Schizosaccharomyces pombe: one gene and its partners. The gene in region 2 interacts genetically with the main gene of each other region. Each region holds a gene or a part of one and is shown on either strand. Other genes may lie near its edges.

Evidence for each region.
Region 1: mutations in tip41 (region 2) and SPOM_SPAC688.12C together harm fitness less than expected from each alone (positive genetic interaction), as found in Schizosaccharomyces pombe (one large-scale study listed by BioGRID).
Region 3: mutations in tip41 (region 2) and grx3 together harm fitness less than expected from each alone (positive genetic interaction), as found in Schizosaccharomyces pombe (one large-scale study listed by BioGRID).
Region 4: mutations in tip41 (region 2) and liz1 together harm fitness more than expected from each alone (negative genetic interaction), as found in Schizosaccharomyces pombe (one large-scale study listed by BioGRID).

The regions. Positions count from the first base shown.
Region 1 is NC_003424.3:3,137,805-3,141,362, forward strand, and holds SPOM_SPAC688.12C (uncharacterized protein), read right to left. Parts: upstream 1,521-3,558; 5' UTR 1,422-1,520; coding exon 918-1,421; 3' UTR 870-917; downstream 1-869. Other genes in the region: clathrin adaptor End4, read left to right, coding at 1-629; scn3 (TatD DNase family Scn1), read left to right, coding at 1,920-2,927.
Region 2 is NC_003421.2:1,145,646-1,149,364, reverse strand, and holds tip41 (TIP41 type 2a phosphatase regulator Tip41), read left to right. Parts: upstream 1-2,135; 5' UTR 2,136-2,223; coding exon 2,224-2,982; 3' UTR 2,983-3,150; downstream 3,151-3,719. Other genes in the region: anillin-related medial ring protein Mid1, read left to right, coding at 1-1,912; ubiquinol cytochrome-c reductase assembly protein Cbp3, read left to right, coding at 3,458-3,719. UniProt on the Schizosaccharomyces pombe protein: Involved in negative regulation of the TOR signaling pathway in response to type of available nitrogen source. Activates the PP2A phosphatase ppa2.
Region 3 is NC_003421.2:1,734,779-1,738,542, reverse strand, and holds grx3 (CIA machinery monothiol glutaredoxin Grx3), read left to right. Parts: upstream 1-2,436; 5' UTR 2,437-2,615; coding exon 2,616-3,116; 3' UTR 3,117-3,264; downstream 3,265-3,764. Other genes in the region: dao1 (D-amino acid oxidase), read left to right, coding at 891-1,937; rox3 (mediator complex subunit Med19), read left to right, coding at 3,360-3,764. UniProt on the Schizosaccharomyces pombe protein: Monothiol glutaredoxin involved in the biogenesis of iron-sulfur clusters. Binds one iron-sulfur cluster per dimer. The iron-sulfur cluster is bound between subunits, and is complexed by a bound glutathione and a cysteine residue from each subunit.
Region 4 is NC_003423.3:3,433,933-3,438,767, forward strand, and holds liz1 (plasma membrane pantothenate transmembrane transporter Liz1), read right to left. Parts: upstream 2,646-4,835; 5' UTR 2,441-2,645; coding exon 896-2,440; 3' UTR 846-895; downstream 1-845. Other genes in the region: fyv4 (mitochondrial 37S ribosomal protein mS41 ), read left to right, coding at 1-185; SPOM_SPBC4B4.12C (uncharacterized protein), read right to left, coding at 296-628; syj1 (inositol-1,4,5-trisphosphate 5-phosphatase 1), read left to right, coding at 3,621-4,835.

The DNA of each region.
Region 1 (3,558 bases), on a different chromosome or scaffold from region 2:
AACCCAAAGACGATAGTTTGTCCCCTTCAGAACTGCAAGTTCACGATTCTTTGTTAAGCGCATCAATTGCCATTACCGAGGCTATTGCCAGATTAATTAAAGCAGCAACTGCTTCACAGGCAGAGATTGTTGCTCAAGGAAGAGGTTCCAGTTCACGTGGTGCATTTTATAAAAAACATAACCGCTGGACGGAAGGCCTTATATCAGCTGCGAAAGCCGTTGCGCGTGCTACAACTACTTTAATCGAAACTGCTGATGGAGTCGTAAACGGTACATCTAGTTTTGAGCATTTGATTGTCGCATGTAATGGTGTTAGCGCCGCAACTGCACAATTGGTTGCAGCCTCTCGTGTAAAAGCAAATTTCGCCTCTAAGGTTCAAGATCATCTTGAGGATGCTGCGAAAGCTGTTACGGAGGCCTGTAAGGCATTGGTTCGTCAAGTGGAGTCTGTTGCTCTCAAAGCTAAAGAGGTGCAGCATGAAGACTTCTCTTCATTGGGTGTTCATGAATATCGTCGTAAAGAAATTGAGCAACAGGTGCAAATTTTGAAGTTGGAAAATGATTTAGTCGCTGCCCGACGTCGTCTTTTTGATATGAGAAAAACATCTTATCATGTTGCCGAAGAGTAATTAAGTCTTTTCGATCCTTTTTATTTTTATGAATTAATTTTGGAAAGCCTTAAATACTCAGCTATTAGTGCTTCTATTTTTGCTAGGTCGATACGGGATGATAAATACATTGCGTTCTTTTCCGACCAATAGGCAGTATTAGTATATTTAAATTTTAAATGTAAATAAATACCATTACATATTGTGACACTTGTAGATCCTACTGATATACTAATGATCAAAGCAGAATGGCTAACCTACCGCACTATATCTCTTAAAGTAAAACAAACATAATCCAGATTTATTTTTCTACAACTTTTTCTTTTTCCTCCTCTCGGTTTTTTTCTCTTTCTTTTGCTCCTTCTTTTGTTCTTTCTTTTCTCGTTGTTCTTTTAAGCGCTGTTTTCTTTCAGCCAGTAGAGCCTCATCTTCAGGATTTGCGCAAGCAACTTCGAATAGTTTCCATGAAAGAATTAAACCTAGACCAGTCGCGCCAAAAACATAAAGATCTAAAGTAATCAATGTGGTCTGAACAAGTATGAATGTGATTATCATCTTAATGATGATCTCACGGCCTGACACATTGCTACGAACTTCTTTACGAATACCCAAAGGAAACCATCGAATTTTACCAGGGGGTCCAAATGAAATATGATAATTCCGTTTCGTGGGATTGTTAGAAGGACCCTTGGGCTTATAAATGTGAATTAAATTGATAAATGCTCCAATAAGGAAAATAGCTAGTCCAATTTTGTTATTCTTCGGATTCGAGAAAGTCTTTGTCAATTGATACGGAGATTCTTCTTCACTCATTGTAATTTATTTTCTATTATAGGAGATATAAAAGAAGAACCGTTCGTTCCAAATTAATTTGATCAAAGTATGGTGAATGAAACCGTCGGGGTGGAGGTTAGGAAAAATGTGGTACTACAGACAAAAAATAGAATAATTTGCCTCTCCCATAAACAGATATTCAAGATGTATTTTATCGTATGTTCTCAAATTACCTAGACGCTAACACTAATAAATAAATTTGAAAATATTATTGGTAAGGTGGTCACATGGAGGAACTAGTCAACGAAATAGGTATCTGCCCTTGAGCTTGCAGTAGACTAATTAAATTGAAGACGACTGTAATATTCAAGTTTTATCTTTATGTCATCAAGTAATTACCAAACAATGGGGAAACGAATGAAGTTGTTGAATTTCATTAGCATACACATGTTTTCGTCAACTCCAACGTTACTCTCCCTATCCCAACTATTTAAAGTACGGTGGGCAGAGAGCATTCTGTTAACTACAAATATCATTATGGAATCTATCATTGACGCTCATTGCCATCCAACTGATGCACCGCAAGAATTACATTTGGTTGCTAATCTTTCTGTTGGTAAATTAATAGTAATGGGAACCCGGCCGACAGATCAAAAGTATGTCGAACAACTTGCGAAAGAATACCCTGGTAAAGTAATACCTAGTTTTGGGATACATCCATGGTTTTCTTATTATTTGTACGATGATTTGGATAAAGATTTGCAAAGTAGTGAAACGAGAAAAAAGAAGCATTACGAAAAAATATTGACTCCAATACCTGATGAAGATTTTATCAATGCTCTTCCCAACCCAGTCCCGATTTCAGAATTTTTGGAGGACGCTCGTCGACATCTTAAACAGTACCCAAACGCTCTCATTGGCGAAATCGGCTTGGATAAGCCATTTCGATTGCCAGTTGGCCCATATGATGCAAGGTCCTCACTTCCTCAAGGACCTCTATCACCATTTTACGTAAAAATGGAACATCAATGTAAAGTGTTTGAAGCACAAGTGCGTCTTGCTGCAGAATTCCAACGTGCTGTTAGTGTTCACTGCGTTCAGACGTATGCTCTTTTGTATAGCAGTTTAGCTAAATTTTGGGATGGTCGCTGGATTCCTTCCAAAACGAAAATACGAAAGATGAAGAAAGAAGAGTACGAAAATTCTCTTGCTGAAGAACGAAAGCATTACCCTCCCAAAATTTGCCTTCATAGCTACTCTGGTAGCATTGAGCAAATTTCTCAGTTTTCAGCCCATAAAGTTCCGACCGAGTTTTACTACTCTTTTTCAATAGGTATAAATAGTCGTTATAAAAATTTTATTCAAACACTTAAAGGCGTTCCCGACGATAAGCTATTGGCAGAGAGTGATCATCACAGTGCTAGCCAAATCGATGAATTAGTTCGACAATCTTTGAACGTTATGTCAGAAGCTAAGTCCTGGACTTTTGAGGATACTATTACAAAAATTTCAAGTAACTCTAAAGCATTTTTGAAAGTAACTTGAACGCATGCACTACGGTTTATTGACAAATTAGAGTTACCTGCACAATCACCTTAAATAAGTGCATAAGAGATTACTGGCTATTCCCATTGGAATTGGTAACCTTTAGGTTCGTTTTTTATCTGTTTCGTTTACTAAATCCCGAAACTTGACTGAACTAGTGTGGAAATGCTTGCGTTTGCATACAACTTTATTTATAATGTCCTTTTTCATGAACTTTTTTCTTATATTGTCCACCTAATGTCTCTATCTTAAAAATTTCTAACACTTTGCTGAACATGTTTAGCAAAATTCTTTTGTTTATTTATTACTTAGGATAAAATATTTTTTAAAAAAATTTTTGTGATTCCCGTTACTAAAGTATTCTACTAAAACCATCTTGAATTTCCACTTTTTATGAAAGGAATATGCACGTACAGCAAATTCTTAGACTTTTTTGCTCTTTTAGTGATCGTAAGCCAAGCATTAACTGATGTATCTTAGCCATTCAAATTCGTAATACTAAGCTACTTTTTTTTCCAATTCTTGGTATGCCTATTTCACAAATTGAAATTTATACATCAGTTACACTTATAAATCTTTTAACATTGATTAAGAACCCAATTGAATACTACTATCTGAATTAACGACAACT
Region 2 (3,719 bases):
TCAGGAAGCCCCTGTTGAAGATACTTCAGAGCCTTTTTCTTCAGTCCCAGAGGCCACCTTAGACGACTCAGATATCTCTACAGAAAGTCTTCGTAAAAAGGTTTTGGCCAAGATGGAAGCAAAACGGATTTCCAGTGGATCTTCCTATGCTAGTACACTTAGGAAAGTTTATGATTTCTCTGAGCTTTCCCTTCCCACCAACGGTAAAGACTATGATGAGTTATACCTTCAATCTTCCCGTAATTCAGAACCTGAGATTTCTACTATTATCAATGATTCTTTACAACAGGAAAATATGGATGAGGATATTAGTGCCACTTCAATTCCGAAATCTCAGGCCGCCTATGGTCATGGATCTGTAACGTATCATGAAGTCCCCAGATACAATCTAACTTCTGCTTCCGTGGGATATAGTATATCTAGTCAACGTGGTCGTATAAAAAGCAGTTCTACCATTGACAATTTGAGTGCTATTTTAAGCTCTGAAGATTTACGTCACCCATCAATGCAACCCGTACCAGGAACGAAGCGTACTTATAGTAATTATTGTGAAAATGAGCCAAACAAGTCTAGCCAAAGTTTAGTCAGTTCTGAGTCCCATAACGTCGAAGGATGGAATTATTCGGAAACTGGTACAGTAGGTTTTTACGACCCTAGTGCCGAGATATCCGCCAGCATTGATGAACTTAGGCAGTCTACGCCTGTAGCCAGAGATAGCGAACTTTTAAGTCGTGCACATTCCTTTGATTTGAATCGCCTTGATCTTCCAAGTCAGGATAAGAGTACGTCTTACGAAGTCCCGAATGGTACTGAAAATCAATCACCACGTCCTGTTACTTCTCTTGGATTTGTGAATGAAACATTTTTTGAAGAGAAACCAAAGGCGCCCTTGCCACTTGGTCGCTTTTATATACATTTGAACAGCATTTTGAATATTTCGATAAGTGAAGTCCATTCACCTATCAAGATAATAGTTAATACGCCTACGCAAAATATGCAGCTTCCTTGGCAAGCTGTTAATGGGAATAATAGGTTGGACCATGATTTTGCTTTTCATGTTGACGATAACTTTAAAGTGAGTTTTATGTTTCTTGACATCCCTATTGAGGACAAGTCCAACGGTTCGAAAGGAGTATCTGCTACAAAAGACGTTTCAAACGGTAAGCCTGCTGAAACGAAATCCAAAGCTAGGAAATTTTTTGACAAGCTTTTCAACCGACGCAAAAAGAGAAAACTCAACAAGGCTGCTGCAGTTGAGAATTCAAAGGCTAAGAAGTCAGTGGTTATCAAGAAAGTCTCGGGTACTGCTACGTTAAATTTGGGTAATGTCAAAGACAGTTGTTTTGGAAAGGCTTTCAACGTAGAAATACCCATCATTTCCAGAGGCTTCTTGGAAGCGATTCCTGTAAAAATAAACTCTATAGGGAAACGTACACTTGGTAATCTAACTTTGACTTGTTTGTATATTCCTGAGCTTTCGGTTCCAGAGCAGGAATTGCCATTTACCTTAGAACAAGCTACGATGGACTTGCGACACGTTAGAAGTAACTATCTATATAATGAGGGATACTTGTATAGATTGGAAGATTCATCTATTCGAAGACGTTTTGTCGTTTTACGCTCAAAGCAGCTGAATTTTTATGCTGAAAAAGGTGGGCAATATTTGGATACTTTTCAGCTTTCTAAGACAGTAGTTTCAATCCCAATGGTAAATTTTTCAGAGGCAGTTTCAAACCTCGGTCTAGTAGCTGGAATATTGGCTACATCTGTTGATAGAAGGCATGTTCAGTTGTTTGCGGACTCTAAAAAGGTTTGCCAAAAATGGCTTCAGGTGATGAATTCACGCTCGTTTGCTCTAGATAGGGGTACTGAGAAATTATGGTTACAAGAATACGTGAATTTTATGGCTTAATATCTGAATTTATGAATACTAATCGTCTTAATGTATTTTTTGAATAATTTTTACTTATCGGATTTACTAAATGAGGGAGTTGAACTGAAATTATATAACTACTGAATTAATACTTATAGATCATTTTTCATTTTTAATCTGAATAATTAATCAACTTTTGGTTTTTTGAATATACTCTATAATGAGTAAAGTAATATAAAGGTGTTTTGTGTTGGCTAAATTTACATTACCTATATTTTGCCGTACGCACTCTAAATTGTTACAATAATATAGGGGTCAAGCAACTACTCAAATCACATTATTTAAAGGAGATGCAAAAACAAGATGATTTTTCATTTAAATATTGGACTATCAAAGTCCAACGGGGGTCAATTTTAAAAAGCCATGAGATGGAGAACCTTCAAAGTACATTGGGTTTTCCACCTCCTGAGATGACCTTTGGGAATAATTACATCTCAATTGAATACAAGAATCAGCCTGTAGTTGGATTTTTTACTGAAGATGCTCTTAAAATGGTTGGTACCAAACCTGAAGATGTAATGCAAGTTTCTTTTGCAAAAGACTGGGCCAAATCCAGAATTAAGCCCGGAGAAGAATACCCTGTGATTTACCCATTTGATTGGACTTATTATACTGATTATCAGGGAACTATACAACGTCCAAATGCAAAATTCATTGAAATTGATCAGGTAATACCTGTTCAAAAAATACTTAACGCAGGACAAAATTTATGGTTCAATGAGATAATTCTTTTCGAAGATGAGTTAGCAGATAATGGAAAATCAATGTTTGATGTGAGAGCTCGAGTTGTTCAGGGTCATTTAATATTGTTAGCACGCCTTGTCGTACGTTTAGACAAGGTAAATGTTCGATTGAATGAGACGAGGATATATATTGATTTGTTGAATGATTTTCTCTTGAAGGACTGCCGTAAAAAGCAAGCTACTTACGACAAAATTATTAAACAAATACCTGTGGGGGGAGACAAAGCTGCATTGCTAGATGATAACAATTGGTTAAGTGAGCGCCTTGATACCGTTGACCATAAAATCTATAAATTGAATTTTTGATGCTAAAATGATTCGCTAATGGCAGACATGAGAATTTAGAACTTTTGTCAACGAATGAGTGTTGAAGCAATTTACAAGTTTATTACGTTTAGTTCATGGTAATATTTATAATCATTTTCAACTAAGAGGTTATTAATTTAGGTTTTCTAATTGAGAAAGCAAAATAAATAGATACAATCTTTGGTACGATTAAACGGCGAAGATATACTACTGAAACTGCAAACAAATTTAAAATGGTCCAGTAAATTTTAGAGTATACTTAATTAGGAAGAATGATGGCCTCGTAATATTGATCGTTCGTTATAACATTGTATTTGGCAATCAACCTGTCACAACCTCTCTTCCCCTTTATATTGTACGACATTAATCGATCCGTTTTTTATTTCAACCCAACTCCTACGTATTTATTTGCAGGTAATAATTAATTTTATTAATTAAGAAAAGATTATCAAAAGATCCTTATCGTCATTCAGTAATGAGTCGCTGCTGTTTAAATTTGCCATTGAGACCAGCATTTGTTAAGCAGCCGGTATGGGGGAAGAGTATATACGGTCCCTTAAGAAGAAGATTTTCATTTTCTCCAATAAATGTTATTAATCATTCACCTTCGGAAACGAAGAGAAGAGACCCAGTAGAAGAACTCAGATACAAACCCCTTACACCTCCTCAAGATCCACGTAAAGTGGCTCCGCCAAATAGTTTTCTAAAGAAAATAAGTCTTATTTATCAAAAATATA
Region 3 (3,764 bases), 590 kb from region 2:
CTTATAACGATGATTATAATATTGTTTTTAATTAACATACCGCGTACCGCTATGTTGTAGATCGCAAGTAAAGCTCACCGCAGTGCTTTGTATCATTAAACAGATATCAAACTGCGTAGCTAACACGATATGGGTTTTACCGATTTGCGTTGCGGTTCAGTAGATTGTTTCGGATATCAAAGTGCGAGTTTTACGTAAAGAAGATAAGAATTGGAGCCGCTAGTCGCAAATCTGAATCTTATAAAAGGGTGGGTAGTCCTAACGAACAGCACTCCTCTTTCGCACACTCTTCCTGAGCTAAATTGAAAGCTAATTTACAATCATTTTTAGGTAAGTAATCTATACGGATAACCGGAGGTTTCGTTATACTTGTTTACAGAAAATCACGGCACTTTGATACGGCGTTTATGGTAAAAAAACCGGAGAACTCCCCAATGTGGATTATGCATCGTTAAAGCGCTTTAGTTGGTACTTTTGTTTGTACAGGGATTGTAGCGAATTGAACTGCTGAAAGTGATTAATATATGTATAGTTGTTACAATACAATATCATCCATTAGAAATTCTTCTATATTGTATGCAAAAGTGCATGCAAGCATATATTAATCCAATATGGTACTGTTTAACTTCAATCCTCTAATACTTGATTTGCCTGTTACACTGTATTTTCCCATTGTAACTGCTTTTAATTTTTTACTCTACCTCTAATCCGTTAATGACATTGCCAATTAGGGTTCAGACTGCTAACTTGCTTCTAATATTTAGATATAAATTATTTGCGCACTCGTTTCCCCCTGCTTCGCGTTTTAAATTCGCAGTCTAATTGCCCTTTCTCCTTCTACTCAACCATTGCTCTCTCGATTTCTCTCCTTCCCGTTTTTAATATAAACAATGACTAAGGAAAATAAGCCAAGAGATATTGTCATCGTTGGCGCTGGCGTTATTGGATTGACCACTGCTTGGATTCTTTCAGACTTGGGTCTTGCTCCTCGTATTAAGGTGATTGCCAAGTATACGCCTGAAGATCGTTCTGTAGAATACACTTCCCCTTGGGCTGGCGCAAATTTCTGTAGCATTTCTGCTACTGATGACAATGCTTTGCGCTGGGATAAAATCACTTACCATCGTTTCGCCTACTTGGCGAAAACTCGTCCTGAAGCAGGAATCCGTTTTGCTGATCTTCGAGAATTGTGGGAGTACGAGCCGAAACACGACAAAATCAGATCCTGGAATACCTATGTCAGAGATTTCAAAGTTATCCCTGAAAAAGATCTTCCAGGAGAATGTATCTACGGACATAAGGCCACCACCTTTTTAATCAACGCTCCTCATTACTTGAATTATATGTACAAGCTGCTCATTGAAGCTGGCGTCGAATTTGAAAAGAAAGAATTGAGTCACATCAAAGAGACTGTCGAAGAAACTCCAGAAGCTTCAGTAGTATTTAATTGCACTGGTCTCTGGGCTTCCAAATTGGGTGGCGTTGAAGACCCGGACGTTTATCCGACTCGTGGACATGTTGTTTTGGTTAAGGCTCCTCATGTAACAGAAACTCGCATTTTGAATGGCAAGAACTCTGATACCTATATTATTCCTCGTCCCTTAAATGGTGGAGTCATTTGCGGCGGTTTCATGCAACCAGGAAACTGGGATCGTGAAATTCACCCTGAAGACACTTTGGATATCCTTAAGAGAACATCGGCTTTGATGCCAGAATTGTTCCACGGCAAGGGTCCGGAGGGTGCTGAAATTATTCAAGAATGTGTCGGATTCCGTCCTTCTCGAAAGGGTGGTGCCCGCGTAGAGCTTGATGTTGTTCCCGGCACCTCAGTCCCCCTTGTTCATGATTACGGTGCTTCTGGCACAGGATACCAAGCTGGTTATGGTATGGCTCTTGACTCTGTCATGTTGGCTCTTCCTAAAATCAAATTGGCTTAGGTTTATTTTTTTATCACGTTTCATATTTTTTAGAGCATTATCTCCCCTCTTTTTATTAGGATAATTGGTCGCTTCATTTGAGGTAGTTTTTATACCAAATTTCGAACCATGTTTTATAGACTTAACGGATTTGTTAAAACGCATTTCAATTCTACGATACACGTGTACAAGTAGTTCATTAGCTTTTGAGAGTTGCTAAATCATGAGGATGAAATAGCATTAGAATGTTGTACATTACCTTTACGTTTTTTGACGATTATTTAAAAAAATTTACATCTTTTGAGAATAATCTGAAAGACTAAAGTGCTTGGCATCCTTAATGCGAGCAAGTAAGGTTCCTTTCCTTCCGTGCCCTTGTTGTAGAAGCATTAAAATAGACTGAGCTTGATTCATATTAACGGTGGCATCTTTGTAGCTTAATTAGTAATTTTTGGGCCTTTAAAGAAGTTTTTCAATCCTCAATCGCAATATCCTAAATTCACCTATCCGCGACCAGCCTACCGTTTGCATACCACAGGTTTTGGGTAACTATCTAAACCAACTGTGAGGGAATTTAATTGTAATAGTTTATTCATTTTATATTATTTTATTTTGCTTTAATCACAATAATTTGATTAATCAGCTGCTTTTCGTCAGCTCATACAAATTACCAAGAGAAAGGAAAGCTTACATCCCATTATGGCTAATAGAAAGATTTTTCTTATTACATCTCTTATAATATCGTTATTGCTTATTCATATCTTCATATTCAGTCCACTGAATGAACCTGAGAAAAATGCAAAGGCAGGACCTTTAGGTCTTTCAGATGTCTCAGTGCCATCTGCTCCTAAATTACCTGCTAAGGATTCAACAGATTTTGAAGTATTTCTTGAAAACCCTGTTATCATTTTTAGTCGTCCTGGATGTCCTTATAGTGCTGCAGCTAAAAAACTTCTAACAGAAACCCTTAGATTGGATCCTCCAGCAGTGGTTGTAGAAGTCACCGACTACGAGCATACTCAAGAGTTAAGAGACTGGCTTTCTTCCATTAGCGATATATCTACAATGCCCAACATCTTCGTTGGTGGTCATAGCATCGGTGGATCTGATTCGGTCCGTGCTCTGTACCAAGAAGAAAAACTTCAGTCTACTTTGGATGAATGGACACATAATAAAGTTTTAATTTTACCTACCGACTAATTTTAATTTTTCAATATATGTTTTGATGCAATTTATTAATTACAATTTATGTTAAATCGATTACCCTTGGAAGTAACTCAATAATTATACTAGCCAAGTATGCTATAGCTTCTTTAAACCACCAACCACTACTCCAAACTATCCAGCTAAGCAACTTAGAGAGTAAAGCATTCATTGCATATATATTTAAAAAATTTGAATGCAATAATATATTCTTATTGTTACATTGGTCAATTTATTTGCATGGCGCAAGCTCCTGAATACCACTATGTAGGTAGTGTAGACTACCAACCGACGAGGCCTTCTGCCCATCAGAATTTAATAGAGCTTTATGGTCTTACGGAACTTGCTAAAAAGGTTGGACGTGTCGATGAATTTGGTAACAAGAGAAAGATGCGTCGTTCGTACAAGGCTTACATCCAAGACTTGCCAGGTTATAATGAAATTCTTCGTGATAATACTATAAAACAATGGCTTACAAACCCTATTCGAGAAGAAGTTCCTATTGACATTGAATTTTTACATCATGTGTTCTCTGTAGAGCCAGGCATTATTCCAGGTTTTAATCCTAAAGTGTTTGGCCTTGAAGACGACGTTGTAATGGGCAATGTTAGTCGTGATTCCTCTCAACCTCGTAGTCCAAGTCGT
Region 4 (4,835 bases), on a different chromosome or scaffold from region 2:
GAAAATTCGAGTCTTGGGATGGTCTATTTAGGAAAAGTACAAAAACTATGAAAAAGGAAGGTATTGATGTACGTACAAGGAAATACATTGCAAGCCAAAGAAACCGATTTAAAGAAGGGTTTATAGTTAAGCCATATCCAGTTATGGTTAAAAAGAATGGAGGTGAGCGACGCAAACGTAAATAATAAGTATATGGAATATTATATTCTTTTGAGACATTCTTTCTTCTTTTTGTAGTTGAGTTTTTGCTTGAGTTCGAATTAATCTAAAATTTGCTTAAAATAGCCAACACTGTTCAAAGCATGTCTTTTCTCGACGAAGATGTGGAGCCTAGAACGCAAAGCCGATTAAACAATTGTCCATGAAACCATTTAGCAAATTCTGGAGAATTTTCCATTAGTGCGGAATTGGCGCTAGGGTATTGTCTCCCTCTTTCCAAGTTATTTTCATTTGTTTCGTTCACGGGCTTCCATTCCCACTCTCCTGCCCAGATTAATTTAGCTTCAATTTTTTCTCTAGTCCTAATATATAAAAAATTTTCTTTTAGCTCCATTAAGTCTACACCATCGCTAAATTCCTTTAGGACTGATGTATACTCAATAACTTGTTGATCATTGCCGGATACCATCCAAACTATACGTATAGTTGGTATTTCTATTTAATGGTTATAAATTTTTAACTTCAGCTGCACCTTAAATCGTTTGTTAGCAGATTCTTTTTGAGTATGTGTGCAAAGGTATTCGTTTGCGTTTGCGTCAAAGGGCTTGGTCAATTAGATGAGCCAACTGTGGTAAATTTTTATGTTAGGTTGATATCAATATGAACAGCAAATTTACTCTAAATGTGTACTTAAAGGCATAAGGAATATTTATACTATGTCATTAATCTTCTAGTACTAATCTTGGGCATTCGTTTCTTTTGGCATGGAAATTCGCTGTCGCGTTATCACAAGCCCTGGAGAACTAATTTCTTTGACCGCATTAGTTGTGTTGAGTGATTCCTCATCATTTTTGCCTATTTTTTTTAACTCTAAACTTTCATGCTCAGTGAATACATCATCGAAATCTTTTGCATCCTGGATGGATCGTTTAATTCTTTTATCGCGGATTTGCATGTAACTAACAATACAAGAGCTAACAAAGACTATTCCTCCTACCACCAGCAAACCAATTAATCCTTTTATAAATCGAGGCGTATCAGTATTGGGATACATTATAGGTGCCCACCAAATATGCCAGATATTCTGACACATATTCATCAAAAACACAACAACTCCTCTTTCCTGATCATTATCCCGGCAAATGTCATTTGCCCAAGAAAACCAAACTGCTTGTCCAGCATATGTACAACCAGAAGCGAAATAAGCAAAGAATTTTGCGCCATCTGGCACGTTCCATGCTAGAAGTATTGTAGCAGAAACAGTAGTAATTACGCACAGAAAAAGTCCAAAAGGCCATCTTGGGTTTCCAGCTAATTTATCAGAAATAACACTAGCACCTAACGTTGATACTACGCCAACAGCTGTAATCACAGTTGGGTAATTATTTATTTGGGCAACAGAAAATTTGTTGCTCCATTTCATCCACTGACCCATCAATACATTGACAGCTATAGCTTGTGTTTCTCCGCTAAAAATCCAAAGGATGCACAAACCGTAAATTCGCCATGAACGTACAATATCCTTTATCGCTTTTAGCGTTAATGGCTTCTTCTTGGGGCGAGCGGGTAGCCTTTTGAAACTTAATTCTTTTTCTTGTTCTGTAAAATAAGGAGCCTTGGTTGTTTCTGGAACGTCAGGAAACAGAAAGAGCCCATATAATGAAAGAGGAATCGTCAAAATGCCATCAATTATAAAAAGCCAACGCCAACCAGATAAACCACCTTTACCATTTAATGATGAATGAACTGCTGTTTGCAAATACCCAGCAAACATTGTGCCGACTAAACCAGAGGCTGAAAAAATTCCGGCACGTTTGCATAGTTCACTTTCTTTGTACCATGCGCCCAATATATAATGCGTACCAGCAAATGTAGATGCCTCCGCAACCGCCATGAAAAAGCGTAAAATCATCAATGCTCGAACGGAATGTACCGCAAATGAAAAAATCGTCATAAGTCCCCATAAAATATTCATAACCGAAAACCAAAGTCTTGCTGGTACTCTCTGTAATGCATAAGAACCTGGCAATTGTCCTATAATGTATCCACATGTAAAAACAACGTTTATATCTTGCAATTCATTACCATGCATTTTCAAATCCTCTTGCATACCACTAAGGTATGCATTGTTTATTGATGATCTATCCAAGTAATTAATAAAATATGAAACGCAACAGTAAGAAAGTATGAACCAATCTATTTTTATTAAAAGCTTTTGTTCAACTTTGTTTAATCCATAATAAGGGGAAAAGGTTTTTGCCAACCTATTTAGTAACGCCATTACGACTTGTCTCACTTATGAAATATTCACGACAATTTACAGAGGAGACCTAACTTAAATTTTTATGGCTTTAGAAAACGTACAATTTCAATGGATTCTCATGAAAAGTGCCTATATTAAAGTAAAGCCAGGGACCTAAGCAAGGAACAAACACTTCGAGTCAAAATCGAATTGCAGACTGTTGGAATATCAATATGCTCCAGCCAGGAAAATTTTTTCTTTAATTTTTCTGAAAAATCAAGATTATAAGTATCGATCGAGCCTTCTAAAAAGTGACAATATCAATGCCGGAAACCCAATCTTAATTTTTAGATGTGCGCTGATTACTCGGAATTGGCTAGCAAGTTGGATACTTATTCTCGACGTAGCCACAATGAGTACTATACTTTGCTGCTCTATTTGTGGAAATTAACTGTATTGCAAAAAACATCTAACCTTTCAATTAATAAGCATTCGGTTCAAGTGGCTACAATACAATAACCACTATTTGCGAGATTAAACATACTATTACAGTAACCAACACATTTGAAATGTAAAAAATTGCCATAGTTGAAGCTATTCAGCGTCAGCGAACATCTTCGGAGAGCTCAAATAATCTTAGCTCTTAAGATGGGGGTTTTTTCTGCCGAATACTGTATCTGTTTGACTTTTATTTTTAATACGTTGGAGTAACCGCTGTATTCTTGTGCAACTTGGTGTTTTTGAAATTAACAATGGCACTGTTGATGAACGAAAGTGAATTATAATACATTTTTTGACAGTACCAATCTTATGGAAGTGCCTTGAAATCCTGTTACGTTACGTTTTAGCAAGATCGCTTCTCTTATGATTTTCTTGTTTCAATGGTTTTCTACCCATAATCAATGAAATATGTTTACAAGGGTTACGAGTTTTGTAAAGCAAATGCACTTTAAAAATTGACCAGAAACTTCCATATATTAGAACCAAAATTTTTTGGAATACATTTTAACATAGTAAATTAAAATAAGCCGTTTACTTATTCTAATTTACAGAAGCGCTTCTATAATGTTTAAGTAACGAACGTTTTTGTCACCCAACACCACCCAACTTCGTATCCCAAGATTTATAACTTGTTCGGACAAACATCGTTGGTAAAGACTTGCATCGTTCATTACAGAACGAATTTTATTATTTATAGTTCACATTTGTGAATCTTAAGATGCAATGTCTGCTGAGGGAAAAGCCAAGATCCTTGGCCTTAGTCAATAAGGACCATGCTCTTATGTTTCATTCGGTTCCTCAGAACAAAAACTCTTTATCAGTATGTGTTGCAGAATTTACGGCATTGTCAGAAAAGCCGTTAGAAGGATTTCGAAAAATCTCCAGTCATCGAATTTATGGTACTCTAGGTCTGATTGAATTAGAAGGGTCCAATTTTTTGTGCGTGATTAGTGGAGCTAGTGAGGTAGCACGTGTGCGAGATAAAGAAAGAGTTTTTCGTATCATGGAGGTCTGCTTTTACAGTGTTAATCGTTCAAACTGGGATCACATTCGACAAGAAAATTACTCGCCTGATATTCCGGATGGTTACGATACCGATACCCAAGGCTATGATTCTTACAAGTATGCCGCTGAACCATTCAGTAGTCTCAGAAAGCTATTAACAAATGGATCATTTTACTTTTCTCTCGATTTTGACATTACTACCCGACTGCAACTTCGTACGTCTCAAACAATGACGGAGCCTCAATATGATAGCATGCATACTCAATTTATGTGGAACGAATTTATGCTTAGACAGTTGATCAAATTTCGCTCCCATTTGAATGGGGATGAAAAGAGTGCATTGGATGGATGTCGCTTCTTTACATGTGCCATCAGAGGTTTTGCGAGCACCGAACAATTTAAGTTAGGAATTCAGACTATTCGGCTTTCTTTAATATCTAGACTGTCTTCGCTTCGCGCTGGTACCCGATTCTTGTCACGTGGCGTAGATGATGATGGAAACGTTGCTAACTTTGTTGAGACGGAGACAATCCTCGATTCCTCTAAATACTGTGTAAGCTATTGTCAGGTCCGTGGCAGTATTCCAATTTTTTGGGAACAAGAAGGTGTTCAAATGTTTGGTCAAAAAATTGATATAACTCGCTCTTTAGAAGCAACTCGAGCTGCTTTTGAAAAACACTTTACCAGTCTTATTGAAGAATACGGACCAGTGCACATAATCAATCTTTTAGGGACAGGTTCGGGAGAACGCAGTTTATCTGAGCGTCTGAGACAGCATATTCAACTTTCTCCGGAAAAAGATTTAATACATTTAACGGAGTTTGACTATCATTCTCAAATTAGATCCTTTGAAGATGCCAATAAAATACGCCCAATGATTTATAGCGATGCAGAAACTTTCGGGTTTTATTTTGAGAACAACGAAGGA